Macaca mulatta: one gene and its partners. The protein of the gene in region 1 binds, or shares a complex with, the protein of each later gene. Links are inferred from orthologs where the notes say so. Each region holds a gene or a part of one and is shown in the gene's direction. Other genes may lie near its edges. The genes, in order: PPFIA1, PHLDB2 and ERC1.

The links.
Region 2: PPFIA1 (region 1) and PHLDB2 share a complex: the UniProt entries of both Homo sapiens proteins name them as parts of the cortical microtubule stabilization complex. The link is inferred for Macaca mulatta from reciprocal best matches to the Homo sapiens genes PPFIA1 and PHLDB2.
Region 3: PPFIA1 (region 1) and ERC1 share a complex: the UniProt entries of both Homo sapiens proteins name them as parts of the cortical microtubule stabilization complex. The link is inferred for Macaca mulatta from reciprocal best matches to the Homo sapiens genes PPFIA1 and ERC1.

The regions. Positions count from the first base shown.
Region 1 is NC_133419.1:4,392,889-4,401,106, reverse strand, and holds the start of PPFIA1 (liprin-alpha-1), read left to right. Parts: upstream 1-3,756; 5' UTR 3,757-3,941; exon of another isoform or gene 3,942-3,950; intron 3,951-5,205; coding exon 5,206-5,469; intron 5,470-6,202; exon of another isoform or gene 6,203-6,880; intron 6,881-8,218. UniProt on the Homo sapiens protein: May regulate the disassembly of focal adhesions. May localize receptor-like tyrosine phosphatases type 2A at specific sites on the plasma membrane, possibly regulating their interaction with the extracellular environment and their association with substrates.
Region 2 is NC_133407.1:171,760,999-171,768,588, reverse strand, and holds part of PHLDB2 (pleckstrin homology-like domain family B member 2), read left to right. Parts: intron 1-2,081; coding exon 2,082-3,430; intron 3,431-7,590. UniProt on the Homo sapiens protein: Seems to be involved in the assembly of the postsynaptic apparatus. May play a role in acetyl-choline receptor (AChR) aggregation in the postsynaptic membrane.
Region 3 is NC_133416.1:1,970,828-1,978,417, forward strand, and holds part of ERC1 (ELKS/Rab6-interacting/CAST family member 1), read left to right. Parts: intron 1-1,139; coding exon 1,140-1,277; intron 1,278-2,526; coding exon 2,527-2,667; intron 2,668-3,893; coding exon 3,894-4,034; intron 4,035-7,590. UniProt on the Homo sapiens protein: Regulatory subunit of the IKK complex. Probably recruits IkappaBalpha/NFKBIA to the complex. May be involved in the organization of the cytomatrix at the nerve terminals active zone (CAZ) which regulates neurotransmitter release.

The DNA.
Region 1 (8,218 bases):
TTAAAAAGTTTTTGTTTAACCATGTATAAAAATTAAGGCATACTATATTAATGTACAGGTATTTGACAAACATATAGTAATGTAACTACCACCACAATCATGATATACATAATTATCTAAAATATGACTGTGGGCCAGGTGCTGTGGCTCACGCCTGTAATCCTAGCACTTTAGGAGGCTGAGGTGGGTGGATCACCTGAGGTCAGGAGTTTGAAACCAGCCTGTCCAACATGGTGAAACCCTGTCTCTACTAAAAATACAAAAATTAGCCAGGTGTGCCTGTAATCCCAGCTACTCGGGAGGCTGAGGCAGGAGAATCGCTGGAACCCTATGAGATGGAGACCACAGTGAGCCGAGATCACGCCACTGCACTCCAGCCTAGGCGACAGGGCAAGATTCAGTCTCAAAAAAAAAAAAGGCTGTGAATGTCATCAACTTTTCTGTCATTTGGAAGTGCAATAATTTAACCAATTTTGTTTTCTTGGCCATTTAGGTTGTTTACGATTTCTCCCTTACCGATTTCCAATCTGGGGGAATGAAATCAATGAATTAAAATGCATGAGGGCCATGAGTGGTGGCTCATGCCTGTAATTCCAGCACTTTGGGAGGGCGAGGTGGGTGGATTGCTTGAGCTCCGGAGTTTGAGACCATCCTGGGTAACATGGTGAAACCTCTTTTCTACCAAAAATACAAAAAAGTTAGCCAGGCATGGTGGTCTGTGCCGGTAGTCCCAGCTACTTGTCGGGGAGCTGAGGTGAGAGGATTGATTGGGCCTGGGAAGTAGAGGCTGCAGTAAACTGTGTTCGAACCACTATACCTCAGCCTAGGTAACTAAATGAGATCCTGTCTCAAAAAAAAAAAAGAGAAAAAGAAGGAAGGAAGGGCAAGGGGAAGGGAGGGGAGGGGAGGGAGAGAGAGGAAGAGAGGAAGGAAGGAAGGAAGGAAGGAAGGAAGGAAGGAAGGAAGGAAGGAAGGAAGGCAGGCAGGCAGGCAGGCAGGCAGGCATAAAATGAATGAAATTCGGAATTTTCATTTTCCTGGAGCTATACCAACTGGGTGTCTCCCTTCTCCACTGGAAAAATCCCACATCATTCAAGACCCAGCTCAGATATTGCCTCCTCTATGAAACCCCCATGATGCCAGCTGGAGAGAGGGTTCCTCCCTTCCCTGTGATTCCACAGCACCAAGTCATATACACTGTTTATGGGACAGACATTGCAATAGTCTGATTTTCTTCTCTCCTCCAGACTGTGAACTCATACTAGAAGTGATGTCTTAGCTCTGTGTTCCCAAAACCTAAGCCATGCTTGGCTCATACATGCTCCACAAATGTCCATGAAATGAATGAACATTCTACCCTGCTGAACTAAATTTTGATCTTGAGCCGATTTCTTAGAAAACAGACACTTTATGAGCATGGTGCAAACATACCTGGCTGCATTAAGCAGGTACCCCTAAGGAGAGCTGGAAATTTGCTGGTTTTGGACAGTGGTTCAGGGGAACTTGGGAGTGGTGCAGAATTGCTGGCATGTGGAAAGGTACAGGGTACTTGCAGAACACCTCATCTAAGTGATCATCTTCACAATTTTATTTTTTATTTTTGAGACAGAGTCTCGCTTTGGCACCCAGGCTGGAGTGCAGTGGCACAATCACAGCTCAGTGCAGCCTCGACCTCTCAGACTCAAGCAATCCTCCCACCTCAGCCCCCCAAGTAGCTGGGACTACAGGCGTGGCCCACCTCGCTGGACTAATTTTTAATTTTTTGTATAGACGCAGGTCTCGATATATTGCCCAGGCTCAAGCAATCCTCCCACGTTGGACTCCCAGTGTGCTGGGATTACAGACGTGAGCCACTGCACCTGGCCAATTTTTTTTTTTTTTTTGAGACAGAGTCTCGCTCTGTCTCCCAGGCTGGAGTGCAGTGGCATGATCTCGGCTCATTGCAACCTCCACCTCCCAGGTTCAAGCTATTCTTTCACCTCAGCCTCCCGAGTAGCTGGGATTACAGATGCCCGCCACCACACCTGACTAATTTTTGTATTTTTAGTAGGGATGGGGTTTCACCATGTTGGCCAGGCTGGTTTTGAACTCCTGACCTCAAGTGATCTCCCCACCTGGGTCTCCCAAAGTGCTGGGATTACAGGCGTGAGCCACCACACCCGGCCTCACCTGGCCATTTTTACACTTTTAAAATAGCAAGAAACTAGGGGCAAAAAGTACAAATTCATATTTATGTGTAATCAGTCAATAAATATTTATTGAATGAACTAATAAATTAATGGAAGGTGTACCAGATCCTGGCAGGCGAGAAAGTCAGTCGGAGGCAGTGCTTGTTCTTAGTGCACTCACAATGGACAATCAAGGAATTCACCTTGGACGGGCTCATTTCTCCCTCCCCTGTGCAGTCTCTTCTCAGACTTATCAGTTCTGAGGGGCTCCTGGCTGCCTCACACCAACAACGGTGGCCAGTGGACACTGGCGATGGTGTCCTGTCATTCTGGTTTGTGAAGAGTTTTTGCGCCAAGTCAAACCCTGGGAGGAGTGGGGAGAGCATCCTCTTTCATTAATTAGAGGTGTCTCTATTCATCTCCGTAAATACAACATCTAGCACAAGACTTGGCCCACAGTAGGTGTTTAAAAATGCTTGCTGAGGCCGGGCGCAGTGGCTCACGCCTGTAATCCCAGCACTTTGGGAAGCCGAGGCGGGCAGACCACGTGAGGTCGGGAGTTCAAGACCAGCCTGACCAATATGGAGAAACCCCGTCTCTACTAAAAATACAAAATTAGCTGGACTAGGTGGCGTGCGCCTGTAATCCCAGCTACTCGGGAGGCTGAGGCAGGAGACTCACTTGAACCCGGAGGCAGAGGTTGCAGTGAGCCGAGATGGCGCCATTGCACTCCAGCCCGGGCGACGAGAGTGAAACAACGTCTGGGAAAACAAAACAAAACAAAACTTGCGGAAAGAATGAAATGACCAAGACTTCTGTAGGGCCGCCCGTCAGGTTCTCAACTAGTCACTCCACATCTGATTCATATCTTAAAGCAGCCTCGCAGGTAGGTCTGCATCATTTTCCCATCCTACATCGGAGGCGCTGAAGCCCAGGCGGGCTTCCCGAATCGCCCGGGCCCACGCTGCAGAGTGAAAGCCACAGCGGCAAAGCCTGCACGCTGGACGCTGCGCCGGAGCGTCCCCAGGTGCAGCAGGCTGCGCTCCGTAAGTGGGTCCTGGCGGGAACCGCGTCCTGCTGAACCCCGATCAGGCCCGGGGAGACCCTGGGAGCGACGCGGCGGGCGGGGTCTGGGCCCGCGGCAGTGGCTGAAGCCTCGGCTCGCTCTTCCTCACAAGGTGCGAATCCAGCGCCTCCAGCTCGGGAGGGACCTGACGTGCGGGACGCGTCCGCCTCAGAACCCGAGGCGCGGCACATACTCGGCAAAGGCCGCCGGCGTCCCCGCAGCAGTGGGAGGAGACTAGGGATGCCCGGAGGAAGACGCTGACCCGGCGAGCACCTGAGCGCCCACCTGTGGCTCATCCCGGAGACCCCCCACCGACCCGGGCGGGGCCTGGGGGCGTGGCTCCCGTCTCGCTCAGCCAATCAGTTCCCCGGAGCAGCCGCCCGCCCCCTCCTGAGGCGACAGCGCTTGCGCACTCGGGCCGCGGTCCTCCTCGGGCCCCGCCCCCGGGGCGGTGCTGACGCTCGCGCCGACGCGCTCGACGTCGGGCACGTCGACGCCGGCGCCGCGCAGCCGGGCCCGCTCCTCCTCCGCTCCGCCAGTGTCCGGCCGCGGGCCGGCCTTAGTGACTGGGGCGGCGGGCCCCGGGGCCGCGGCGTGGGGCGGGCAGGCGGACGCCGGCCGCGGGCTGCCTTCGTCGGCTCCCAAGCTCGCCCGGAGCGAGCAGCCGCCCGCGAGCCGCCGCGGAGCCTCCTCGCCCGCTCCCGCCGGTGAGCAAGGTAAGGGAGCGGGACACTGAGGCAGGCTCGGGGCCCAGGCGTCACCGGCTGGTCCCGGTCTCCGCGGCGGCCACGCAGCCGGTTGGATGTGTTCGCGAGGAAGGGTGCGCTCCGGGGCGGGTGGGGGCGAGGCCGCGGCGCCGGGTCGCGCTGGGAGAGCTCTGGCGGGACCCCAGCGCCCCGAGGGATGGCTCCGGGGACTGCGCGCCGCCCCTCCCCGAGCCCTGCGCCCCGTGACCTGGGCGCTGGGGCGAGGGGCGGGGAACTGCGGCCGCTGAAAGCCCCGGCCCGAGCGGGCTCCGTTGTCAACGGTCCTCACCTCCGGGGTCCGGGGCTCCCGCCGCACCTGATACAGGAGGGGAAGGAGTACGGTTCGAGCAGGCTGGAGGTCATCCCCATCAGGTGCGCCGCCTGGGCCATCCTCTCTCAGGGGTCCATCGCGCCCCGAATACTGCCCGAAAGACTCAGAAGCGACTTCCCCATCCCCTCGCGCTGTCTTTATATCCCAGACACTTAATGCCTCTCATCATCTCACCTTTCACTTTTCCCTCTTTCCTAGCCGCCTCCGGCTGTATATCGACCTGCTATATTTCCATTGTGAGTTTTTTTTTTTTCGGTTGTAAACTTACGTAAGTTAGGTTGACTGATCAACCGTTGCAGCCATTGAAAAAAAACACTTCTGCCAGCGTTTAACGAATCCAGTTCCTTTTAGTGCTCACCAGCTCCAGCTCAAGAATTCAGGGAGCCGTCAGTTCTTCACAGGAGCTGACTGCACACATTCCTGCAAGATGCCTGATGGATTTTGTACTTGTCAGTTTTGCTGGCTGTATGCTCCTTCTGTGCTTTTCCTGAAAAATGATTGGGTGACATGTGTTTTGACTTTCTTCTCCCCCCCCCACCCCCCACTGGGAAGTAAAAAAAAATTAGGTAACAGAAGCACACTTGTTTTCGACAAAAACAAGTACAGCTTTGCAAACAGACTACCCCAGGGTTTGCCCTTTTTTGTGAGGGTAGTCCTCTGGTATCTTGACCCCTTCCCTGGATTTTTGTCTGTGTTAATGTCTTCATGTTGTGTATTTCTGCACTTAATATTTGCCCGGTATATGTTTTCCCAGCTTATTTACACACAAAGCGTAACAGATCTGAGGATAATGAGGCTGCCCCTCTTTTTAGCTACAGATACCTGTAAAGTTGCATATTTGTGGGAACCTGTATTCTGCACTTGATGACTGTAGCCTGGCTCTTTCATTTCAAGATGATGTGCGAGGTGATGCCGACCATCAGCGAAGCAGAAGGCCCCCCTGGAGGAGGTGGAAGCCATGGTTCCGGCTCCCCTTCGCAGCCAGACGCAGATTCACATTTTGAACAGTTGATGGTCTCCATGTTGGAAGAAAGGGACCGCCTTCTTGACACACTGAGGGAGACTCAAGAAACACTGGCCTTAACCCAGGGGAAGTTACATGAGGTTGGTCATGAAAGAGATTCCTTGCAGAGACAGCTCAACACGGCACTTCCACAGGTATGAGTGCTTTTAACTTGAGACTCTGTAGATTATTCTCCACTAAATGTTTTTTTTTTTTTTAATTGGTGTCATCTTTTGTTAATGTTTCAGATGAGTATTTTCCATAACCATTTGTGAAATGATGGTTTCTGGTGTTTCTAAGTCAAATACAAAGTTCCTAGGGATTAAACTTCTTAGGGAGAACAAATTGTTGTACTCTAAAGTCATGTGAAAATACCTCATTATTTTCATTCCTATCTTTGGGAACTGCCTAGGTTCAGGAAGTTCTCCAGAGTTTCTGAAAAAGGGCTCTGAAGCAACCAATCTATGTGGTGCCTCCGTTCTGTTGTCTTCAACCTTCTCTTGCTAAACTTGTGCTTCCCATGGATTGTGTCTCATGTGTTTCTAATTTCCTAATATAATTTAGTAGACAAATAGGATTTCACAGAAAAAAAATACTGTTTTGATAGCCCACCTTTATCAGAACATCTAGGTTTTGTAAGTCACATTTGTTTTAGGGGATAGAAGACTGGAGATTGATTCCTTAGGAACTTCTTCCTTGGTAGACGAGAATTTTAAAGCTTAGGCCGGGTGTGTTGGCTCATGCCTGTAATCCCAGCACTTTGGGAGGCTAAGGCAGGCGGATCACCTGAGGTCAGGAGTTTGAGACCAGCCTGGCCAACATGGCAAAACCCTGTCTCTACCAAAAATACAAAAATTAGTGGAGCGTGGTAACACACACCTGTAGTCCCAGCTACTCAGAGGCTGAGGCATAAGAATCACTTGAGACAGGGAGGCAGAGGTTGCAGAGGAGCCAAGATTGCACCACTGTCTCAAAAAAAAAAAAAAAAAAATTTAAAGCTTAGAACAACTGAAATTATTTCTCTGAGTATATTACATTTGGACCAGTGTTTGAAAGACTTTGCTCATGGAGTTGAATGAGGATTTGCTTAATGGTAGGTAAAGGGAGAAAGTGTAAAAACTAGAAAAGTGTCAGGTGAGTGTCACGGAGCATAGTGGGAGAGAAGTGGGTTACTTAGGTGTTTCAGAGCTGTCTAGGCCCCATGTTACTCATCCTAAGTGCCTTTGGGGTGCATTCAGGTAGACCCGCAGAAACACACATTTATACTCACATGATGGGTCTGCAGTGATAACTTAGTAAATGAATAATTACTAGCCTTAATGTATTTCTTGGCTGTAGTCAGTTCTCTGGGAAGATTGATAAGCCAAACGTGGGTTTCCTTTATAGCAACAATGATTTGACATTAGAGCTGTATGTTCCTTTTTTGTTGGATTAGAGAATCATTAAGATTTTTCTCATTTTAATCTTATAAAATACTAAGTTTATGAAGGTCGAATTTTATTACTACAATTTTTTTTTTTTTTTTGAGACGGAGTCTTGCTCTGTCCCCCAGGCTGGAGTGCAGTGGTGCAATCTCAGCTCACTGCAAGCTCCGCCTTCTGGGTTTACGCCATTCTCCTGCCTCAGCCTCCCGAGTAGCTGGGACTACAGGCGCCCGCCACCTCGCCCGGCTAGTTTTTCGTATTTTTTAGTAGAGATGGGGTTTCACCGTGTTAGCCAGGATGATTTCGATCTCCTGACCTCGTGATCCACTCGTCTCAGCCTCCCAAAGTGCTGGGATTACAGTTTTGAGCCACCGCACCCGGCCTTGTTGGGTCTTTTAATTTTAGCTGTTCTGGTGGCTGTTAGCTGGTAGGTGGCTCAGTATGGTCTGAATTTGCTGCTCCCTGATGGCCAGGAACATGCAGAGGTAAAGCATCTCTTCCTGTGTTCACTGACCATCTGGATGTCTTGTGAGACGGTTATCTTTTGCCCATCGGTTGGTTGGGTTGTCTATTTTGTTTCTTACTGATTTGAAGGAGTTTTCTCTATATTCTGAGTACATATGTGCATGACAGATTGTTTTTAGACTCTCGTGTTTACCTTTTCACTTTCTCAGTGGTATCTTTTGATACACAGAAGTTTTAAATTTTTAATGTAGCCCAGTTGATCAATCTTTTCAGTAATGTTTAATGCTCTTTGTGTCCTGCTTAAGAAATTTGCTAGGTCAAGTTCATGAAGATACTCTACATTGTCTTCTGAAAACTGTATTTTTAAATCTTCTGTCTGAAATTGACTTTGTTTATGGTATGTGATGGGGCCAAGAGTCTCTTTTTTTTTTTTTTTAATGGATATCTAGTTGACCCTGCATAATTTCTTAAAAAGACCATTCTTTCCCCAGTGTACTACATGCAGTGTCATCTATGTCATCTCAGTCCAGTGACTGTAAGTGTGTGGGTCTGTTTCTGGACTCTCTTCTGCTCCTTTGATCTTTTTGTCATCTTTGCATAAATAGCACAATGTCTAAATTACCATAGATATAGTCTGTCTTGAGATCTGGTAATTTAAGAAAAAGGTTCTCACTCGGTTGCCCAGACTATTGTCTCCAGCAATCCTCTCTCCTTGGTCTCCCAAAGTGCTGGGATTTCCATTGTGAGCCACCACACCTGGCCCTGTAGATGTTCTTTATCCAGATGTAAAAATTCTTCTCTTCTTAGTTTGCCAAGAGTTTTTTAAATACCATGAGCAGATGTTATATTTCTTAACATGGATTTTCTGCATCTTTTGAGACAGTCATGTGATTTTTCTGTTATGTGGGAATTTAACTGTTTTTATTTGTTTGTTTATTTTTGAGGTGGGGTCTTGCTCCATTACCCAGCCCCGAGTGCAGTGGCGCCATCATAGCTCTCTGTAGCCTTGAACTCC
Region 2 (7,590 bases), on another chromosome or scaffold:
TTGTATTACATACAGAAATATACCTGTGTGTGTATAATCCATGTGTGTGGGTGTGTGTCCTGATATGTTTTTTAAAACTAACTTAACATTTTATAAATGTACTTTTTGTGCTATAAAATGTACTTCAAAATATGATTTTAAATGATTGTATAATATGCTCTCATGATGTATTATAGCTTATTTGATTTTTTCCCTATTATTTGGCATTTATGGTATTTTCCCATTCTAATAAATAACACTGTAATGTCCTCAGATTCATCTATTTCCTTGTTTTTTCAATTCCAAAATATTTAACTTGAGAGAATTGGCTGAGGCTTGCTGGAATTTCAATATGGCAAGCCAACGAGAGGTGATGTTACTTCGGAATAGAGGAGTCTCAGTTTTAGTCCTCTAAGCGGGCATGGTAAGATAGGTCTCAAACTAGGCTGGTGTTGCTTTTAAAACCGGAATTGATAGCAGTTGACACATGCTGAGAAGAGTGTTTGTCTTGGAGGCAGAAAGGGCACTGTCCCAGAGGAAATGAAAGCCTTACCAAGAGCTAGATGGCAGGACTAGATGCCAGCTGGGAGCCAAATGTAATGAAGAAACTTCATTTTTTTTAGGTACATTTAAAAAGATAAATTATGTTTGTATCTATCTGGGCAGGGCTTTGGGTTAGAGGATAAGGAACCCAAGGCAGAGTTTGTTGGGGAGCACCTTTATGGGCAGTTGGGTACCTGGCCCATGACCAGGATTTATGCAGCCAGACTGTTTCGTGGTCTTGTGGATAAAGAAGGAGCTCTTTACTAGGCTGTCTGAATTTGCTCAGAAACTGTGTGAAGCTGAGCAACAGGGTGAAGGTCCTTAATCCATGGCTGAGAGGGAGTGAGGAAGGCTTTGATTAAAATGGAAAGCTTACATTCATTGAATTGCTCACCTCTGGGGCAACGAGAGCTAGAGGGGTGGAAGATAAAAATACTAGATATAACCTCTTCCTTAAACCTGTGGCCTAGTTACAAAGACAACCACATTATGAAACCATTACTAACCATATGTGATACTGTTTATATATAGACCAGAGATGTCATAATTAGTGTCTGATGTGCCTAAGGGTTGGAGGACAGTTTTAGTGGTTCATGAGTTCAATGACAATGTTTAAATTGTATTTTCACTTTACTGATAATCTAAGAAAAAAAATTTTAACAGGTAGAATTATAAGCCTTCCCATTTGCAGTAATAGTTTGTAATTAAAAGATATTTTCATAGGCTAAAACTTTAGTTCTTTAAGTTAACATTGTTCAAACCAGGGATGAAAACATATTTTCTTAAAAATTTTAATCGTGGAACATAGAATCCTGATCTATTCCCTGGAAGAGTGAGTAGGTCCTGATAGGATGAGCTTAGTGCATTTGGGGTACTAGAAAATTTGAAGGATATAACAGTTTCAGGTTTTTAAATATACCATCCTGATCACGTGTCAGTAATTGGTGGAATACTCTTTTCTTTGTTATTACCTGCCTCTGATGACTAAAGGAGCTTTAAGTCTTTTTGTTGAGAAGGTAAATCCCAGAGCCCTCGTTTAAAGAACCATCTTCTAACTCTCACGTTATTGATCAGTGTCTAACGTAAACTTTTCTTTTTCTGCCCAAACGTGAATTTTGTTTCCTCAGGACTTTATTTCTGAGCAGTTAATGATTCTAGCAGAGACATCTATAGTAAAGTCCATTGCATTATGCCTTTGGGCATTAGCTAGTCACTAGGGAAGCCGGTGTTCCTTGAAGGGCCAGAACATTAAGGAGAAATTGTCTTTTTTATGTCCCAACCTAATCCTGCGCCTTTACTTGGTTAGGGATTTGTTTCACTCAAATGTCATTGCTGTCCTTTTAAGTTATTTTTCTTTTGTACATAAGATATCTCAGATCAGTGATCTTCATTATCCTCTAATTTGCTGTATGGTTTTAACAGGTTTATTAGTAAAACTGAGTTTGTGTTTATTTGCATTAGGTCAGACCGCAAGATTATTTGTTCAGATGTAGGCCTAACAAGCGATTGTTCTTTTAAAATCTTTTTTAACGCAAAATTTTCTCTTCATTTCTTTACAGATTCCAGCAAGATTATGGAAGAGCATAGCTACATACAAAAGGAGCTAGATTTAGAAAATGGTAGCTTAGAGGAAGACGCTGTGGTGCATTCTGTTGAGAACAATTTCCAAAACATGATGGAGAGCCTCAGCCCAAAGAAATACTCTTCCAGTCTGAGATTTAAAGCCAATGGAGACTATTCTGGCTCCTATTTAACCCTCTCACAACCTGTGCCTGCAAAGAGAAGCCCTTCTCCTTTGGGAACCAGTGTGAAAAGCAGCCCCTCCTTAGCCAAAATCCAGGGAAGCAAGCAGTTCTCTTATGATGGAACTGACAAAAATATTGCTATGAAACCTCCAACTCCTTTACTCAGCACTACATCCTCCCTCAGCGGATATCCACTTGGAAGAGCAGACTTTGATCATTATACTGGCCGGGACAGTGAAAGGGCCTTGAGGCTCTCAGAGAAGCCTCCGTATTCCAAGTATAGCTCAAGGAATAAATCGCACGACAATGTCTACTTTCTCGGAGGGCTGGAAGGTCGGAAGGCATCTGGCTCGCTCCTGGCCATGTGGAATGGAAGTTCCCTGAGTGATGCTGGCCCCCCTCCTATCAGCAGATCGGGAGCTGCAAGCATGCCTTCAAGCCCAAAGCAAGCCAGGAAAATGAGCATTCAGGACAGCCTGACGCTTCAACCCAAGTTAACTAGACACAAGGAGCTTGCATCTGAAAACATCAATTTGAGAACTAGGAAGTACTCCAGCAGCAGCCTGAGTCACATGGGAGCCTACAGCCGATCACTTCCCAGGTTGTACAAAGCCACAGAGAACCAGCTGACACCTCTCAGCTTGCCTCCAAGAAACTCTCTGGGCAATTCCAAACGAACAAAACTTGGGGAAAAGGATCTACCTCATAGCATAATAGACAATGACAATTACCTTAATTTTTCTTCTTTGAGCTCAGGGGCTTTACCCTATAAAACCTCTGCTTCTGAAGGCAATCCTTATGTAAGTTCTACCCTCAGTGTCCCTGCCAGTCCTCGAGTGGCTCGGAAGATGCTTCTGGCCTCCACCTCTTCCTGCGCCTCTGATGACTTTGATCGGGCTTCATACGTGGGGACAAACCCGAGTCATTCACTTCTTGCTGGAGAGTCAGACAGAGTGTTTGCGACCAGGAGGAACTTCTCTTGTGGATCTGTGGAATTTGATGAGGCTGATTTGGAAAGCCTCAGACAGACCTCAGGAACCCCCCAGCCTGTCCTTCGGGAACGGAAAAGCAGCATTAGCTCCATTTCAGGACGTGATGACCTGATGGATTATCACCGGCGGCAGAGGGAAGAAAGACTGAGGGAGCAGGAGATGGAGCGATTGGTAATCATCTAACAGTGATTGACCTCACTGTTTCATTAACCAGCATCTACAGGGCAGCCTTGGAGATGGACTCCAGGATATGTGGGAATATAGGATATTCATGTTCACCAGCCACAGCTGCTGTCTTTCTCTTCTCTTCTGCTATATGCTTCTTCTTCCCATATCACTATTAATAGGCATGTTTGGCTATCTTGAAGGCCTCCAGGAATTAATGTTAATTTAGTTGCTCTGCGGACTTCTCACAAGTATAAATTCTTTAAAAACATAACAGAGGAGCTGCGAATTTTATGAAATTTCTGAGTCTTAACAAACTTCTCTTTAAGACTATGAGGAAATGCTGACTTGTATTATTTATATCATTAAATTTGCATGTGTATGGTTATGAGAGAAGTAGTCAGTGAAATCATGACTCACCAAGAATTAGGTAGTGAATTTGTCTTTATAGCAAGTTGTCTAGAAAGTTGGAGTTGCCTCAGTGGTGCTCAGCTTTTCTCCACACTGTTCATACACAACCTTACTATCTTTAGCTCTGATTCTTAGCACGTACAGTGACTCCAAACTACACATACAAGATCTATTGAGTTGTCTTTTTCCATTTAAAATGAATTTATACTTATTGAAAATAAGAAGACAGGAGGAAACATCCCTTGAGAGGCTCACCAATGAATGAGAACAGACAACTGCTTTTTCCCATTCTCTTTTAAGCACAGGTTTTTCTCTTTTAGAATGAATACCTGTCAGAGATTACTTTGATTCATTTTTGATTCGTGATTTCCTTAACGAGAGAAGCTGCAGGATAGTGAAGCTGATTTACAACAACACTATAGCATTATCAGAAGTATTTTAGTTGCTAAAATATTCTAGAATATGATTTTTGAATCACAAAACTGGTTAATACCCTATAGGACAATAAAATTGTAACCCAGCCTTGTCCAACCTGTGGCCTGTGGGCCGCACATGGCCCACAATGGCTTTGAATGTCATCCCATACAAACTCAAACTTTCTTAAAACATGATGAGATTTTTTTTGCCTTTTTTTTTTTTTTTCTAAGTTCATCAGCTATCGTTAGTGTATTTTATGTGTGGCCCAAGACAGTTCTTCTTCTCCAGTGTGTACCAGGATTGGACACACCTGTTGTAACCTTTGGATTATAATGGACGGAAACCATTTGCATCCATCCAGTAGGAAGTATGTTTGACATTTTAGAGCAGTAATCATTTGCATCACTTATAGTTTTTGATAAGTTGATGTCTGTTCTTACAGAGTTTTCAAATATCCTAACTGACAATGGTGAATGAAAACAAATGTGCATAACCTTAGAGAATTTAGATAGTCTTTAGGTGGGTCAGTTATACAGTACTCAGTATGACATTCCTCTTTATTATCATAAATAATCTCTGCAGACTGTTCTTGGTCACAAAATGGCATTGTGTTTGGGCTTGCTTCATTGACAGAAATTCAGAAGATGTTTTAATTAGCATACAAAAGTCTTGTTTATGGACAGCAAATATAATGCTATACCATGCAAAGCAACTGTTATTTATAAAGCCAGAATATTAACTTCTATCCGATAACAAGGAATCTGGGAGAGCATTTTTAATGGCTTCCATTACTCTGGACGTCTTCCTTAAATGCTTCTATTTGCTCTTCTATTCCAAGGATAGGCAACCAAACTCAAGAAATTCATCTCTGCTAGCTTTCATGTTCAGCATCTCTAAGTGTTGGTGAATTTCTCTTTCCTCCAGATTTTCCCAATCTGGTATGATTCTTGGCAATCCAGGAAGTGACCTTCTGTACTGCCTGTAAGGTTGGGCCCGTTAAGTCATAAACAGTTTTGACTTCTTGGGAGAGCTTTGTGGATATTGCTGTAAATATGAAGTTATATATATTTTTTCTTTAATAGTGGACTTATCGTATCTGTTGAAATGAGGTTTATTTTTAAATTTGACACTCTAGGCTTGATCTTGGTTGCATAGTCTATTTGTTTGACTACATTGTGGTAAAAGGGATGACAGATTCTTATCAAGCCTATGCAAATTATGATATTGCCATTAAAAAGTAAAGTGACTCAGATTACTTCCTGAATTCTCAGAGATCAGTGAGAACAATTTACCATTAAAATAATATTTCATTTAGTTTGCAAAATCAGAGTTAGCTGAATAGAGGATTAGAGATAGAGCAGTATGAATGCCAAAGCATTTTCCCCCTAAAAAATAGAACATTAAAAATAATACTAGTAATATTCCAAAACACATATCCACTTTTAGAAATTCAATTTTTATTACAATTCAATCACTTCTATGTAATTAATTCTTATTCCTCTGTTTCTTGGGCTCTTAATTTGGTTTCATGCAGTCATCTATTTCTGGACTAAAAAGTCCTGAAAATCTGATTTGGGTGCCTAGTACTGTCTAATTTTCTCTATGCAATTCTTTGAAATATTAAGAGTTAAGAATACCTGGTAAAGTTCTGTCCACAAGGTTCTAAAACTGTCTTTTCTTTGTTAACGAGATATTGTATTTTGTAGGCAAGCTCACGGGGAAAGTAGAGAATACTTGGTGAATGTAAGAGTTAAGTGGCTGTGGTTAATTTAACAAACAATATCAGCATGAAGGAGAGTTAAAATCCTTTAAATCAGTTTTTTAAGAACATATTACAGAGAGTGAGGGCACTGGCATATATTCAGGGCCTTTCTGTAAAGTACCCAATCTTTGAACATTACCTATAATATTAAAAATCATATTTTACCTGTATAAAATTATCTTAAGGGCAGGCGACTTCCTCATTTGATTTGAGAAATTTTTAGGGGCGCAGTGAGCAAACCTAATTATTTCTAGCCTCTTTCTTTTTGTAAAATTAAAAAACAATTCTTTGTGATTGCCCAGAGGTTCTCTGGGAAAACGTAAAAGTGGTTCAGAAATAGATATCTTGGAATTTTTTTTTTCTTCTGTATTTAGGGTCTGCCTGATCTTGAAGGCAAAATGAGAGGTTTTGTCACTTGAGTCATAAAGAATGGTGTATACCTGAGAGTAGTGAATGTTTGTGGTTTGGCTGTTTAATCAAATGGCAATGGATTATTTTATGATGAGCAAGAAGCCTCAAATCGTTCAAAAATGAAGAAAACTCTTTTTGTTATTTTAAATATGCAAGAATACGTTCCAATCAGCGCAAAGCTCAGGAAAACTCTTGTAAGATACTAGTCTCTGTTCTTTGGGCAGATTATGTGGAATAACCTTTTACTGCCTTTTACAAGCATCGACTGATTTCTCCAAGTTCAGTCTGTCATTTCAATAGCAATAACTGCATTTTAGTTTTACATTAACAGGGTGCTTGTCATATATTACATTTTTAATGCATTACATTAAACATACTTTATGAATAATTGCATCAAAATCATGCAAACTTTGCCAAATTCTTAAAATTTTGTTACTTCTTTATAGCCTTTTTATTTGCAAGCATTATAAACCAAGTTAAATCTAACTCCCCTTTTGCAGATCTGCAATTTTCTGTTTCCATCAACTTCTGCTCTTCATTGTGCTCTTCCACATTCTGGAACAACCAGACACACATCAAAAATACTTAAAGGTATTAGAAATTATGTTCAAGCTAACACATCACAGGACATAATTACGGAAAATGTGAAAAGGTTGGTCACAGTTATAATTCAGTTTAGGTGAGCAAAAAGTTTATATTTTTCTTAATATTATGGACGTAATCTTAGCTTATGTTTTTGGCAAACTAATAAAAGGCAGTTTAAAAGTTCAGGTAAACTAATCTCTTCATCATAAAACATTCAAGTTTTTTTTAAAAAATGAGATTATACTTGTATTATACTATACATTGATGAAACAAGGAAAAGATGTATAGCTGTTTTGTTGTTGTTGTTTTTAAAATGTATTTTCTTTCTTAAAAGTTATATTTGCCCATGACACAGCCCCAGGAGATTCTGAGAACATGTGTCCCTAAAGGTGTTTTTAAAACCAAATTATCAAATCAGGTCTTTTTTTTTTTTTTTAAGAGAGCACAGTTAGACTGGGTGAGGTGGCTTATACTTGTAATCCCAGTACTTTGGGAGGCCAAGGTGGGAGGATCACTTGAGCCCAGGAATTTGAGACCAGCCCAGGCAACATGGCAAAACCCTGTCTCTACAAAAAATACA
Region 3 (7,590 bases), on another chromosome or scaffold:
TTGTACTTGAGTGATAACATGCTGCTTGTTGTGCTTGAGTGATAACGCGCTATTTCCACAATGTTATCTCACAGTATGTTTAGTCCCCATAATCTTGCCTGAACTGATACAAACTCTAATGGTTTTCGATGTCTATATGCGAAGTCCTCTTAAATTTTTGTTGAAAGAATGGGTCGGGTCCTTGCATGCTGACACTGCCAACACTGGCACTGTTACTTATTTAAAGTACAGAATTGGCCAGGCCATTTCTGTGCTTAAAAATCTCTAATGGTTCCCCTCTCTGGAATAAAGTCTGTGCTGCTTAGGTTGGTACACAAGCGTCTTTGCTCCTTAGGTTGGTACACAAGCTCTTCTGTAGCTTGGCTTCAGCTGTGTGATGATGCATTTTCTTACCATCTCATAGTGGAATAAAAACGAGCCTATTCATTTTTCTTCATATCCGTTGTGTCCGGCATGTAATAAAGAATTCAACAAATGGTTTTTGAGTAAATGAGCACATATAAGTGTATATGAATGAATGGCCACAAAAATGTTTGCTGCTTAGATAAAAGATGATATAAGTAAATGAATGCATGTATGTATGAACGAATGGCTGTGAAAATGTTTGCTGCTTAGATAAAAGATGATATAAAACTGACATAACACTAGCCTTTAAGAACAGCCTTTTCTTTATATAGCTGATTTGTCTTTCTCGCTGTTTAGCTGCTCTATTCTCTGTCCTCCCTTTATTCTTTGTCAAGGAATCCCTCTTGGCATTTACAATGTCATATTAGAAGTAATTCTAGTCCTCATGGCTTTCCTCTCTACGTGGCCATCTCTATACTGGATCTTTTCTGCTAGCTACTTTTCTTATTTTGTTAGGGATTTGTGTGTATGTGTGTGAGTGCGTGTGTGTGTGTGTGTGTGTCCATACACGTGTGTACCTTTTTTTTGTTTTGCCTACAAATTCCTACAAATTCAATTTGCCTACAAATTTAAGGTTTTGCATGTAATTCTGAAACTCTTAGGATTAAATGATTTCTACAGAACGCGCACACACAGACAACCCTGAACTGTTTTCAAATTGAAATGATTTTGATTGTGCCGCTGTGTTTTTATAAATGTCCTCTCTTTTCCCTTAAATATTTATGTGCATTTAGATTGAAAATCTTCAAGAGCAGCTTAGAGATAAGGAAAAGCAGATGAGCAGCTTGAAAGAGCGGGTCAAATCCTTGCAGGCCGACACCACCAACACTGACACTGCCTTGACAACTTTGGAGGAGGCCCTTGCAGAGAAAGTGAGTGACTGTCCCCAACTCCACACGCGTTTTCTGCGTTCTCATTAATCTAAGACTGGGTGTAGAATACAAAAGAAATCCCTGTGGGCAAAAGGGAAAAGAACTGCTGTGTGCTCTTGCTGACATATGTAGTGTGAAGGGGAAATTTTTTTTTTTTAAGATAGAGTCACAGTCTGTGCGCAGGCTGGAGGGCAGTGGTGTGATCTTGTCTCACTGCAAGTTCCACCCCCCAGTTTCAAGCGATTGTCCTGCCTCAGCCTTCCAGGTAGCTGGGATTACAAGCATGAGCCACTATGCCCAACTAATCTTCTGTGTTTTCTGTAGAGACGGGGTTTTGCCATGTTGGCCAGACCGGTTTTGAACTCCTGACCTCAAGTAATCCACCCACCTCGGCCTCCCAAAGTGTTGGGATTACAGGCATGAGTCCCTGCACCTGGCCAAATTGCTCTGATTTTCAAACTTCTTGAGTATCTGTTGACAGAAAGTTCTGATGATTTCTCTTTTCTTTACCTTCCTTTATATTTTAAACTCAATATATCAACATCTTTCCCATTCCCCCTTTTCGGTGTGTGAGTTGTGAGTTGTTCCCATTGCCTTGTAGGCGACATGTGAGTAATATATCGAGAAGAAATGTTTGATAGTTATTGCCCTTAGGGTGTATATGTAAGCTTTTAGTTACCTGGAAATTGAATAAACGGAAATATTCCAAAAGAATACTTTAGTGGTATCAAATACCAGTTGAGATTATAAGAAAAGAAACCTTGGGATTGAAATGAATAAAGCTATGTCCTTGTTATGGCAAGATGAATAAGAAGGATGAATTATTTAGAAAGTGTGTTCTGGCTGGGCACTATGGCTCATGTCTGTAATTGCAGCACTTTGGGAAGCCAAGGCGGGCGGATCACCTGAGGTCACAAGTTCGAGACCAGCCTGGCCAACATGGAGAAACCCCGTCTCTACTAAAAATACAAAATTAGCCAGGTGTGGTGGCACGCTACTTGGGAGGCTGAAGCAGGAGAATCACTTGAACCCAGGAGGCGGAGGTTGCGGTGAGCCAAGATCATGCCATTGCACTCCAGCCTGGGCAACAAGAGCAAAACTCTTATCTCAAAAAAAAAAGTGGATTCTTTAAAAACTTACCATTGTCTTTTGAACATAGAAGTTTGAAATTTTATCAGCTAATAGCAGAATTACAGTCATATAAGTGCAAAAGGGAATTTCCTCACATCTTGATTTATTCTCTCATCAGGAGCGGACAATTGAACGCTTAAAGGAGCAGAGGGACAGAGATGAGCGCGAGAAGCAAGAGGAAATTGATAACTACAAAAAAGATCTTAAAGACTTGAAGGAAAAAGTCAGCCTATTGCAAGGCGACCTTTCAGAGAAAGAGGTTAAGCTCACCAAAATGGAATTAGTTTGTTTGCTTAATCATTGCACGTGTCTGTATGCTGTTGGTGTTTTCATAATGCATGTACAAAAGTATTCGATGGAAAATGCTTAATATTCTTTTAGCAGGCTTTTTGTGGATACCTTAAGGAATATTTCAGAAAGCTTTGCAGAGACGTAGTGGATTGGTTCATTCATTTTCTAAGTGTTACTATGTTTTATGTTGGTTTTTTACTTACTAATATTTTTATAGACCTAAAGTAACTGAAGCTCAGATACATTTGGAGAACTAGTGTGCTAAAGATAAGAAAGTTGACAGATAAAAGGAATATGCAAAAGAAGGAAATTTTATGTATACCAACTATCAAAGAACACAACAGCTATTAAATTGGGTGACTTAATCTACTTGAATCTTGCTTTTGGAGAATCCTGTTAGTATGACCTGAAGAGCAAAGATGCCTCATGCTGTGTAATCAGATGGTGATAATGCATGAACTGTAGCATCTTTCTGTGGATTTTCTTTCTGATATCTTTAGGAATTGTTATGGAAGTTTAAATTCCTAATAGAATTTTTCTTTTAATAGGGAAAAATGTGATTTATTTATTTTTTTCTTTTAAGAGATAGCGTCTCACTCTGTTGCCCAGGCTGGAGTGCAATGGCGTTATCATAGCTCACTGCAGTCTTGAACTCCTGAGCCCAAGGGATCTTCCTATGTCAGTCTTCCAAGTAGCTGGGACTATACGTGTGCACTACCATGCCCAGCTAAGGTAAAATTTTTTTTTTTGTGAAGACAGGGTCTTGCTATGTTGCCCAGGCTGGTCTTGAACTCCTGGCCTCAAGTGATCCCCCTGCCTCAGCCTCCCAAAATGCTGGGATTACAAGTATCTGGCTGAAAAATGTATTTTGTTTAAGTTAATGTAGCTACTGAGGTTTGACTACTTACATTCACAAAGCTTGATCTACTTTGGTTTATTTTGTAGAATGGGTATGTATTGACAGAACTCTTTAAATCACTGTTCAATTGGTATTTCTTGAGAATCCATCTTATTTGTTAAGAGTTGAAAGCTAGAGTTAATATTGTTTTATATTTCATGATGAATTTCCTTGAAATGGAAATATGTCAGCATTTGGTAATGGAAAGGAAATTACAGCTACCACGATAAATTTAAAATTTTAAATCTCTATTTTGTTTATAGTTATTTATTCTAGATGTGTGTTGCTTCTTTTAGGCTTCACTTCTGGATCTGAAAGAGCATGCTTCTTCTCTGGCGTCCTCAGGACTGAAAAAGGACTCACGGCTTAAGACACTAGAGATCGCTTTGGAGCAGAAGAAGGAGGAGTGTCTGAAAATGGAATCACAATTGAAAAAGGTTAAAGAAAATTTTTCACATTTTTTTTTTGCTTTGCTTTAAATAAGAGCATAGCCTTGGCATGTTTATATGAAATAATTTACCAATGGAGTAATAATCCCCCAAACTTTAAAAATACCATGTATACCTGAATTAATTATCTTAGCATTCTTATCCTACTTTATTTTATTCAAGATAATCCCCCAAGTCTTTGAAAATTGACAGTTCAGAGAAAAATTAAAATATGCAGCTCCCTCGTGGGTGAAATATGAGACGACAGTGTAAAAATCTCAGTTACCTGACATTTTTCTTCCATTAGAATCAGACTTCTGCCGGGTGCGGTAACTCGTGCCTGTAATTCCAGCTACTTGGGAGGTTGAGGTGGGAGGATTACTTGATGTCAGGAGTTGGACACCAGCCTGTGCCACAGAGTGAGACCCCATCTCGTAAAAAAAGAGAAAACGGTGGCTCACGCCTGTAATCCTGCACTTTGGGAGGCCGAGGCGGGCGGATCATGAGGTCAGGAGTTCGAGACCAGCCTGACCAACATGGCGAAACCCCGTCTCTACTAAAAACACACAAAAGATTAGCCAGGCGTGGTGGTGCAGGCCTGTAATCCCGGCTATTCAGGAGGCTGAGGCAGGAGAATCGCTTGAACCCAGGAGGCAGAGGTTGCATTGAGCCGAGATCCCGCCGCTGCACTCCAGCCTGGGCGACAGAGCAAAACTCCATCTCACATACACAAAAAAGAAGAATAAGTGAGGGCGTATTCTCTAATTTAACCTGTGTAGTAAGATCTGAGACTCAGAACAATTGTTAAATATCCTGTTTCAGATTTTATCTCATTTTGGAGAATGTTAATTTCCTAGCATTTTTCTAAAAAAGACAGGGCACATGTTGTCAGAAAGTTTTTTTTACTTGTTATACTTTTAATTTTTCATAGCAGCTTATGAGGCCTAGAATTTCGTTATCTTCACCTTCTACATTAGGCTCTGTTTTTTGGTTTACAGCTTATGTGTAGATTTACATAAAGGACTATTTGGCATATTTTCTTCTTGGAAACTATTACTAGTGTATTATTAGTGTTCTAGTTTACATTTATTCAAAAGCCTGTGCCTATCATTGACATTTTTAAAGTAGATTTCTTCTCTGTTTTGTTTGGAGTGGGAAATGACTGGTCTTGAGGTAATGATAATTGAAGTCATTTTTGACCTATTTATAGCTTAAGAATTTATATCCTGTATCTGAATATTGGCATTCCATGTCTTCAGTATGAGATAATGTCCTCAGAATTTATTAAGGAAAGGATTGAAACTCAACTTTTGAGATACCAGATTTTTTTTGGTCTTTTTTTCTTTGTTTTTAGGAGACAGGGTCTTGCTCTGTCGTCCAGGCTGGAGTGCAGTAGCATAATCATAGTTTTCTGTGACTTCAAACTTCTGGGTTTAAGTGATCTTCTGCCTCATCTTCCCGAAGAGCTGGGACAACAGACCCATGCCACAACACCTGGCTAAGTTAATTTTGAGACGGAGTCTCACTCTGTCACCCAGGTTGGAGTGCAGTGGCGCCATCTCGTCTCACTGCAACCTCTGCCTCCTGGACTCAGGTGATTCTCCTGCCTCAGCCTCCATAGTAGCTGGGTTTATAGGCGTGTGCCACCGTGCCTGGCTAATTTTTGTATTTTTAGTAGAGACGGGGTTTCACCTTGTTGACCAGGCTGGTCTTGAATTCCTGACCTCATGATCCACCCGCCTTGGCCTCCCAAAGTGCTGTGATTACAGGCGTGAGCCACCACGCCCGGCCTTTTGTTTTTTTAAAATGGAGAGGTCTTGCCATGTTGCCTAGGCTGGTCTCAAACCCCTGCCTCAAGAGATCCTTCTGCCATGGCCTCCCAAACTGCTGGGAGCAAGACCACTATGCTCAGCCTTGAGTTATCAGAATTTTTAAAATGCTTAATTCTTTTTTTTTTCCTTGTAGAGTGAAATACTTATTTCTATGCTCTGATTTTTGTTGTTGAAGCTTTTTAAAATGTTTTTAACCATTAATTTTCTTTCCCTTGATTATCCTACTCTTAAAACCATTTTCTCTACTTTTCTGTCTTCTTTTCTCCCTGATGCTTCCTACTGTCTTCAGCATCCTGTAATAGCGCGGAGCCTCTCATCCAAGCCAGCAGTGGCCTCGCCAGTGTTGCCATAAAGTCTCAGTTGATAGTTTTTTTCTGGCTTTTGTGTGAATGATATTTTTATCACCCTATAGATAAATGAATATGCTTAACCTTCTCATCTCTCCCTTCCCGAAACAGGAACTCTAGGTTTGTTTTTTTGTTTGTTTTTTTTTTTTTTTGTGACGGAGTCTCGCTCTGCCGTCCAGGCTGGGGTGCAGTGGCCGGATCTCCGCTCACTGCAAGCTCCGCCTCCCGGGTCTACGCCATTCTCCTGCCTCAGCCTCCCGAGTAGCTGGGACTACAGGCGCCACCACCTCGCCCGGCTAGTTTTTTGTATTTTTAGTAGAGACGGGGTTTCACCGTGTTAGCCAGGATGGTCTCGATCTCCTGACCTCGTGATCCGCCCGCCTCGGCCTCCCAGAGTGCTGGGATTACAGGCGTGAGCCACCGCGCCCGGCCTGTTTTTTTTTTAAATGATTCCTCTGAACTATATTGAGGTGACTACAAAATAGAAAAGGTTCCTCGTACTTTGGAAAGTGTTTGCGTTTCTGCTGCTTTTGCTTTGTTCTGTTCCTAGTGAGTTAATTAATTCAGGACTGCTTCTCGTTGCTTTTATTTCCACCATGTTGTGGCTTTTAGACACACCAGTTTAGGGTACAGTTTTGCTAACACATTAAATCATGTATCTGCCAATAGAGTCTTTTATAAAGGCCATGCTTAGTAACTGAATTTTGACAACTGATGAAACCTGAAACAAAAGAAATTGGTAGAGGACTTAATCTTGAAAGTACCTCTGTTGCTTCCACAAAGCATTTAACAAAATTTACATGAACATTTCTCTTTTACTCAAGGTACTTTGAATCAGAGCTTTCCTAAGTATGTATGTTTACCCCTTTAATAATTTTTGAAACCATTTTAAGGGACTGAATATGTTTTGTTGTTTATTGAATAAGGAAAAAACTTGTCTTAGTGTTTACTTTCTCATTAAATAGCTTATGTGGTGAAAATGTTGATTTCTATGGGAATATGATTATCTGCATGTTTTTGCAATCTTGCATGTTTTACTATAACATGTATGAAATATGAAAGAACAAAATCTGCCTCCAGTGTATGAGTATGAGTACTGAGGTTTTAATAATGTTAAAGGTAGGTATTTTTCAGTAGAACAAGGCCTGTGGATGGAGAGCTTAACCTTTAACTCAGTATTTTAAGGAGGATTATTCACTGTTACATCAGCTTCTCTTGTCCAAAGGTGACATTTTATACAAATATTGTTATTTCACTAAAGTTTGTAGCTTTTGCTTCTGAATCTTCTTGACCTTTTCACATTCTAAAAGCAAGGTGTATAGATGATCTGCATTTTTAAAGCATAGGTTAACGTATAGTTAGAACTTAGTGGGTAAGAAAGGGGAG